Linked DNA regions of Callithrix jacchus. The protein of the gene in region 1 purifies or fractionates together with the protein of each later gene. This does not show direct contact. Links are inferred from orthologs where the notes say so. Each region holds a gene or a part of one and is shown in the gene's direction. Other genes may lie near its edges.

The links.
Region 2: the proteins of PFDN2 (region 1) and VBP1 fractionate together in Homo sapiens (co-fractionation; 8 studies listed by BioGRID and IntAct, counting the BioPlex papers as one, with this or other methods). This does not show direct contact. The link is inferred for Callithrix jacchus from reciprocal best matches to the Homo sapiens genes PFDN2 and VBP1.

What each region holds. Positions count from the first base shown.
Region 1 is NC_133519.1:20,975,955-20,980,257, reverse strand, and holds the start of PFDN2 (prefoldin subunit 2), read left to right. Parts: upstream 1-1,461; 5' UTR 1,462-1,487; coding exon 1,488-1,562; intron 1,563-4,303. Other genes in the region: NIT1 (deaminated glutathione amidase), read right to left, coding at 1-39, 146-400, 635-730, 1,326-1,327. UniProt on the Homo sapiens protein: Binds specifically to cytosolic chaperonin (c-CPN) and transfers target proteins to it. Binds to nascent polypeptide chain and promotes folding in an environment in which there are many competing pathways for nonnative proteins.
Region 2 is NC_133524.1:150,956,300-150,960,406, forward strand, and holds the start of VBP1 (prefoldin subunit 3), read left to right. Parts: upstream 1-1,281; 5' UTR 1,282-1,304; coding exon 1,305-1,397; intron 1,398-4,107. UniProt on the Homo sapiens protein: Binds specifically to cytosolic chaperonin (c-CPN) and transfers target proteins to it. Binds to nascent polypeptide chain and promotes folding in an environment in which there are many competing pathways for nonnative proteins.

The sequences.
Region 1 (4,303 bases):
TCATGGAAACCACCCAAGGACAGCCAGAGTCCACATTCCCTGGGGGGAGGGGACACTGACTTCTCAAGGCTGTACCCTCATATTTGGCAATCTAGGGGCACTGCCCAACAAAGATTTTACCTCTCCCTCCCCCATTCCCTGATACCTGGCAAGCTGGGTGTATTCTTCCAAAAGTTTCCCACCCAGTGGTTCAGACAGGTGTAGCGTCTCTGCAGGGTCCCGTGCAATGAAGTCAAATGCTTCAGGCAGGAAAGCCAGGCAAGCACCCAGTCTGGCAGCCTCTCGAACCAGCTCAGCACATGTTTTAAAGTTCTGTTGCTTGTCTGGCGTTGATGTTACCTGGCACACAGCCACGAGGGGCAGTTTGCAGGAGGAAGAGGAGATAGCCATGGCTCTGGGCCTGTGAACAGCATAGACAGGATTCTCAGATTTCAGTGCATGAGGAAACAAAATTAATGCTAAAGGGTGCAAGGGAGGAAAGCTGGACTTCCTTTTGATCCTGCTCTTACAGGCCCAGGGCTAGTAGGGCTTACTAATCAAATGTGGATAATTGACAGTCCTGTGTCTCCCATTATCCATTTAACAAACTGAGCATCTAAGTGCCAGGCACTGAGGACACAACAAAACGTGTTACCTGGGCTGAGCACAAAGTACAGAGAGTCGAGGTATCCGGAGTCCAGGACACAGAAAGGACAGGAGTCGGTGAAGAGGCCTGGTGAGGAAGCCCAGCCTGAAGAAGGTGAGAAATGAGGGCACCAATCCCTTCCTTGAGCAATAAATTTCTTGGATTCTCTGACTTCTCTTTATACTGTGAGCCCGAATCAGGGCCCTGCCAGCAAAAACCTTCTGGTCTTCAAAACATTTTTTACTTCTGTAAGTACTTATGGGCTAAGGGACGGTGGAAAGATGGAGGAAGGGGCTCTGCTCGCCTCCTGAACAGATCAATTTTCAATGATCTCACATTAAACTGAAGCCCTTTTCCTCTGACAAACGTTTCCGCAGTCCAAAGTCATCTCCGGGAACTACCCTTGGTTTTCCCAAGACTCTCTTCTTGACTGTGCACTTGCACAGATTTACTGACTCAAAGCGTATTTCCCCTTTCACCAGAATCTCTCAGGAGGAAGTTCACCCTAACTCGACTCCCACCCCTCCAAGGTGGGCAAGGGGCAAAGGAACCCAGGCCCCACGCCGCGCCCCGCTCTCCACCCCCCGCTCCAGTTGGCCCGTCCCTCCCCGCCTCTCCCAGGGGCAGCATCTCTGTCGCACAGGTTAAAGCACCGCAAGTGGGATTCCCTGCGGCCGACGGGATAGGGAGTAGGTCCTACATGAAAATACTGCCAAAAACATTCGCAGGATTCGAGCCGATCCGGAGGGCGGCCTGGAGCCAGAGGCGCCGGGGCGAGTGGGCGGTAACTCGCAGGCCGGACGTGACGCAAGGTGGGGGGGGTGCTGAGCTGCGCCGGCCGGAAACCCAGCAGGCGACGAAGATGGCGGAGAACAGCGGTCGCTCCAGCAAGAGCAGCGTTAGCGGCGCGGGGAAGGGGGCGGTGTCCGCAGAACAGGTGAGGAGTGGAGAGCGAGATGGAGGGTCCCCATCTGGGTCTGGAGTATTTGCGAGAAGGGGGAGCCTGTGGCTTGTGTAGGCCTTTACTCCAGTACTACATGTGCGTTGCACCCAGAGAGGGAAGGGTCCCCGGAGAAGCTAGTCGAGCCCCTTGGGAGAGGTAGACGGTTGGGCAGGTGAGAGCCACGCCTCCCTGGGGTGTTGGGTGAGCCTGGGGGAGGGGAAAGCCCTGACCTGCAGGGTCTGGGAAGATGCACAGGTCTGAGGAGAGATGGTTCGCTGCTTTCTCCATATCTCCTCAGCACCTCCAAACAGGTTATGTCTGGGCAAGACAGCTCTAAAGTAACTCCCCATAGGATTAGTTAACGGGCTGGTTGTGTAGTCTGTTACGTGATCCTGAACTCACTTTGACAATCGCCGTCACGCTGCAGAGCCACGTGACTCACATACTCGAACAGCCTAGTGTTCCATACTATATGGATTCGAGAGTTCGGTACTAGATCGAATTTCTTTAGAGACTAGAAACCCCTTTCTAATCCCAGTTTGCATTTTCCCCAGTGCCTAGCTTCGGGAAACGTTTAATAAGTTAATCACAAAGCCCTTGTGTCTTGAGAACCGTGTTTTGCCAAGTGGAAAAATAGGAGTTGGAGGAAATCTGCCCAGTGAAAATGAAAAAACAGCTATTTTTTTTGAGACAGAGTGTTGCTCTGTTGCCCAGGCTGGAGTGCAGTGGCACGATCTCGGCTTACTGCAAACTCCGCCTCCCGGGTTCAAGCGATTCTTCTGCCTCAGCCTCCCGAGGCAGGGGCCATCGCGTCCGGCTAGTTTTGTATTTTTAGTAGAGACGGGGTTGCACCTTATTGTCCAGGCTGGTCTCGAACTCCTGACCTTGTCATTCGCCTGCTTTGGCCTCCCAAAGTGCTGGGGTTATAGGCGTGAGCCACCGCGCCCGGCTCTTCATCAGGTTTTGTTGAACAGTTAATACAGACAGAGGTATCAGCATAAAGATTTTTATTTTTTGAGACAGAGTCTTGCTCTGTCGTCCAGGGCGGAGTACAGTTGGGTGATCTCGGTTCAATGCAGCCTCCACCTCCCTGATTCAAGCAATTCTCCTGCCTTAGCCTCCCGAGTTGCTGGGATTAAAGGCAGGTTGCCCAGGCTGAGTGCAGTGGCGTGATGATAGTTCTCTGCAGCCTTGAAATCCCTGGGTGATGAAGCCATCCTCCTGACTCAGCTTCCTGAGTAGCTGGGACTATAGGCATAAAACATTTTGAGTGGCTAATTAAAAAAAATTTTTTTTGGTAGAGATGGGGGGAGTTCCACTTTGTTGCTTGGGATGCTCTTGAACTCCTGGCCTCAGGTGATCCACCTGCCTTGGTCTCCCAAAGTGTTGGGACTGCAGATGTGAGTCACCTTGCCCAGCCCCCTGTGATACTTTTTAAGGATACCATGTGTCAGGCACTCTGCTGGGTACAGCAATACAGATACAGTAGTTCCCCCTTATCCAAGGGGGACATGTTCCAGCACCCCAGTAGATGCCTGAAACCTGGGGTAATATTGAACCCTATGTTTTTTCACATACCTATGATAAAGTCTAATTTATATAATAGGTGCAGTAGTTAATAAAATAGAACAGTTCTAACAATATACTATAATAAAGATTACATGAATATGGTCTCTCTCTTTCAGAATATTTTATTGTACTGTACTCACCCGTCTTGTGATGATGTGAGATGAGAAAGTGCCTTCCTGATGAGATGAGATGAGATGAGATGAGATGAGATGAGATGAGATGAGATGAGATGAGATGATGAGATGATGAGATGATGAGATGATGAGGTGAATGACAGCATTGTGATGTAGCCTTAGGCCACTACTGATGATAAGTCAGAAGGAGAATCATCTGCTTTAGGTGATCTCACATCATTGAGCCATGACGATATTGAGCAGGAGAAGTTGACTAAAGGGCAGGTAGCATATATAGCATGGATAGTCTGGGCAAAGGGATGATTCACATCCTGAGCGGGATGGCTCGAGATTTCATCACGCTATTTTCCTAACAGCATGAAAGTTAAAACTTATGAATTGTTGGCCAGGTGCCATGGCTCAGGCCTGTAATCCCAGCACTTTGGGAGGCCAGGGTAGGTGGATCACCTGAGGTCAGGAGTTCAAGACCATCCTGGCCAACTTGGAAAACCCGTCTCCACTAAAAATACGAAAATTAGCCAGTCCTGGTGTTGGGCACCTGTAATCCTAGCTTCTCAAGAGGCTGAGGCAGAGAGAATCACTTGAACCCAGGAGATGGAGGTTGCAGTTAGCCAGGATTGCACCGTTGCACTCCAGCCTGGGCAACAGAGTGAGACTCTGTCTCAAAACAAAAAAACAAACAACCTTAAGAATTATTTCTGGAATTTTCCATTTTCAGACATTGGATAACTCTGGATAATGAGAGACTATTGTAAATGAAATAGACTTTGTCTTCAAATCGCTTTACTCACAGACTCATTTGAGAAAAGATGAATCAAACAATAAAGATTTATAATGTGCTACACAATCCCTTCATTATGGCAGCTAGAGGAGAGACCCCTAACTAATCATGAAGTTGCAGGACTGTGGGCAGGGGCTGGAAAAGGGAAGCTGTGGTATAGTAGGATGGCAGAGCATTCTTATGCACTAAGTTTGAATTTCATTTCTACCATTTACTATTTATATTTGACTTCCCCTATGTTACATCTTGGC
Region 2 (4,107 bases), on another chromosome or scaffold:
GTATGTTTTGATTGGGGGATTTAGTAGACTTAAATTTAGGGTTACTGCCATTTGATGTTAACCGGCTATTTTATCCATTCGTTGATGTAAATTCTTCTTTATGTTGATGCTCTTTACTTTTTGGTATATTTTTAGAAAGGCTAATACTGGTTGTTTCTTTCTATGTATAAGGCTTTCCATTGCATAATTCTTATGCTTATGGTGGAATTTGTGTGAGTGGATGAAGCACTGCTTCACTGGGAAACACTCCAGTGGAAGAAAGGACAGAAAAGGGCCTGAAGAGTAATTACTTGGTTCTATACGACAGATATGCTTTTACAGGATTGTAGCATAGGATGACATTGGGTAAGTCCATGGGCCTAGAAGCCTGGGTGGAGTTCTTAGGATTTTGTATGTGGACTATGAGGTTCTGGAAACGTTTCAGCTGGAGAGAAGACATTCTGATCAAAGGTGGCTTTCGGGAAAGGTTGGTGCGACAGGCAGGGTATTTATTAGAATGAGGCCCGTGACTCCAGTCTGAAACAGACACAAAGTAAGTTCCCTTCAATGGCCGGGCGCGGTGGCTCAAGCCTGTAATCCCAGCATTTTGGGAGGCCGAGGCAGGTGGATCACCTGAGGTCAGGAGTTCGAGATCAGCCTGGCCAATATAGTGAAAATCCATCTCTACCAAAAATACAAAAAAATAGCTGGGCGCCGTGGCGCGTGCCTGTAATCCCAGCTACTCGGGTGGCTGAGGCAGGAGAATTGCCTGAACCCAGGAGGCGGAGGTTGCGGTGAGCCGAGATCGCGCCATTGCACTCCAGCCTGGGTAACGAGAGCGAAAATACGTTTCAAAAAAAAGAGGCAGGAAGCTCCTTGGGATGGTGAGACCAGAAAGGCACAGAGGCTGAACGCTTGTGATGGCGATAGGTCTGAGGTTCGCTCGCATCCGAGAGCGAATTCGGTCGCTCCAGAGGCCATTGTCAAGGCTGCTGCGAGTTCTAGGGTCGGGGTGGGGTCAGGCTAGGTCCCCATTCCTAGGGCTTTAGCACAGCTCACTCACAAGACTCCTTTTCCCAAGAGGACGTAAGGGTTTTTCCTGCCGCTCCAGCTTGTCTTCTGCGGCCCTTCCACGCTTGTCACTTACCTGAGCGCAGCCAATCAGCACCTATTTCGACCAAAGGAGAACCGGAACTTGGTGGGGGGACCTTTCCTGCGCACCAATGAATGTGTACGGAGAGGCGGGCCTGTAGGTGCGAACGAGCCAATCACGAAATCCTGGTGGGCGGTGGCTCGGAAGGCAGTCGAGCACTCGCATCCCCAAGATGGCGGCCGCGAAAGACGGTAGCGGCAAAGGAGAAATGGCAACAGGGAATGGGCGGCGGCTCCACCTGGGGATTCCCGAGGCCGTGTTTGTGGTAAGAAGCACGCTGTTCCCTGGCATCTTGGTTCGAGACTGCGGACTGCCCCTTTGTTTCCGGCTCACACCTAGGCCTCTACTGTTGGAAGGAGCTGAGCTAAAGGTTCAGGGACCGGGTGCTCGGCCCGCTCTCACTCTTCTTTGCACATGGAAAGATTGAGCTCTGCTGCGGCCCGCCCGGAAGACACGTAGCTCGAGAAGGTCCTAGAAGAGAACGGGGTGCGGGGCCTGGGCGAGGGTGAGGGGCGGCGGGGCGGCCTTAGGGACCTGCCGGCTGCGGCTGGTTTTCGAGCCCCCCTGCTGCTTGGAAAAGGGGAAATGGTGAGGAGCTCTCGACTCCGCCTAGTTGCTGGAGAGACAGTACAATGAATAGGCAGAACAGCTAGTGCCAAGATGTGAAAACAGGGAGGGCCGGGCGCGGTGGCTCACGCCTGTAATCCCATTACTTTGGGAGGCCGAGGCGGGTGGATCACAAGGTCAAGAGATCGAGACCATCCTGGTCAACGAGGTGAAACCCCGTGTCTACTGGAAATACAAAAAATTAGCTGGGCACGGTGGCGCGCGCCTTTAATCCCAGCTACTCGGGAGGCTGAGGCAGGAGAATTGCCTGAACCCAGGAGGCGGAGGTTGCGGTGAGCCGAGATGATTGCGCCATTGCACTCCAGCCTGGGTAACGAGAACAAAACTCCGTCTCAAAAAAAAAAAAAAAAAAAAAAAAGAAAAAGGGAATATCACCGTGTCTGTTGAAGGAATGCCGTGGTCTGTTGCCTTGGGGGAAGTAGAAGAAGTAGGATGATGGGGTGAGAGTGTAAACCCCTTCTATGGCTTCGTAAGGAATGAGGTTTTTTTTTTGTTTTTTTTTTTGAGACGGAATTTCGCTCTCGTCACCCAGGCTGGAGTGCAATGGCGCGATCTCGGCTCACCGCAACCTCCGCCTCCTGGGTTCAGGCAATTCTCCTGCCTCAGCCTCCGGAGTAGCTGGGATTACAGGCGCGTGCCACCGTGCCCAGCTCATTTTTTGTATTTTTAGTAGAGACGGGGTTTCACCTCATTGACCAGGATGGTCTCGATCTCTTGACCTTGTGGTCCACCCGCCTCGGCCTCCCAAAGTGCTGGCAATGCACTGCCATTGCCTACTGTAAAAGGCCTTTGGTTTCAGGTGCATCATTCTAACAACTTAGTGGAGAATGAATTGTTGAGAGAAGAGGCCGAACCCTCGTGTTGGCGCTGGGTCCCAGATTCACTGGCATCCGAGAGGGGATCGGGTCGCTCCAGAGGTTGTTCTGGAGGGCGCTCCCTGTTCTGAGTGCCTTTTTAAAAATTTTATTTTATTTAGAAATAGTATTTGAAGACTATTTGAGTAATGAGAGAAAATGTCTGACTGGCCCTCCAGGCCAGCTCATCTGTCTGTCCCCATTTAGTTTCTGAAAGTTTCTGAACCTTTTGATTTATACCTTTCCTTACCTCTGCCTTTTTACTGATCATGTCTTATGTCCTTCAAAACTCTAATTTATTTACACCACACTTGATATTGTCTATTTGCATTTGCTGATTACATTTTGTAATTGTTTATTATTTTGTGTTTTCATGAGCTGTGCCATTTATTTCTTTACATTAATCTATTATCTAATCATAACAAGGAATAAAATTTGTTGAGTGCTGGGCACTTTCTTAATGATTTTACTAAACTCTAGGTATTAGCTACTGTTAGGTCTGTTTTTAGATGTTAAAACCGAGGTACACGGCCCTTGAGTAACTTGCCCCAGGCCACACAGGATGTAAATGAGGTATCCAGGATTTGAACTTCGGCAATCTGTGGGGGTCCACACCGCCAGCTTACCCCTCATGCTCTGCTGCTGTGAGGAGGTGAGGTAGTTCTCATGCATTATGTCATTTCTCCTGGCCCTAGAATAGTGCCTGACACATAGTATAAACTCCTATGTGTCTAATTGAATTTCCGTACTGACTTAAATGTTACATTCGTAGTGCTAAGCTAGAGAAATCTGTCTCCACAGTATACACTTTATCTGAGGGCTTTATAACATCTTAAAATGCTTTTTCCCTACAATGTCATGGCTATTTTTTTGTAGACCTTAAAATTTCTATTGACATAATGTAATAAGCAACCCAATTTTATATAATTGTTTTTGTTCCCAAACTGTTAATAATTGAAGTGACATGGTATTGTTGAAAGATCATTGGCTTCTAAATCGACCAGGATTTGAATCCTGGCTCTGCGTCCCAGTTGCTGCTTAGCCTTAAGCATATTATTTTACCACTTTGAGCCTGAGTTTCTTTAACCTAAATAGGGATGACAATACTTAGACAGTTGTTATGGGAAACAGAGAACAACATGCTTGAGTATTGCAGTGTAGTAGATGTTGAATAGGTATGATTGCCCATGATGCTAGGAGTCAATATACCATAGTTGTTAGAAGTCAGACCTGGTTCTTTCCCCAACCCCCCTGAGGCAGTAATTTGTTTTCTTTCTCTGCTTGAATTGTTCTTTCACCGTTGTCCGTTTCATGACCTCTTCATCTTTCCACTTGTAGTTCAGATATCAACTCCCTGTAGTTTTTTCTGACCTCTACCCCAAAACGAAATCCCTAGCACTTTGTGTCCCAATGGCACTTTATGCTATAGATAGGTGTCACATACTCTTAGAAGCATCTCCTATATGCTCACTCATTTAATCCCGGGTGATGAAA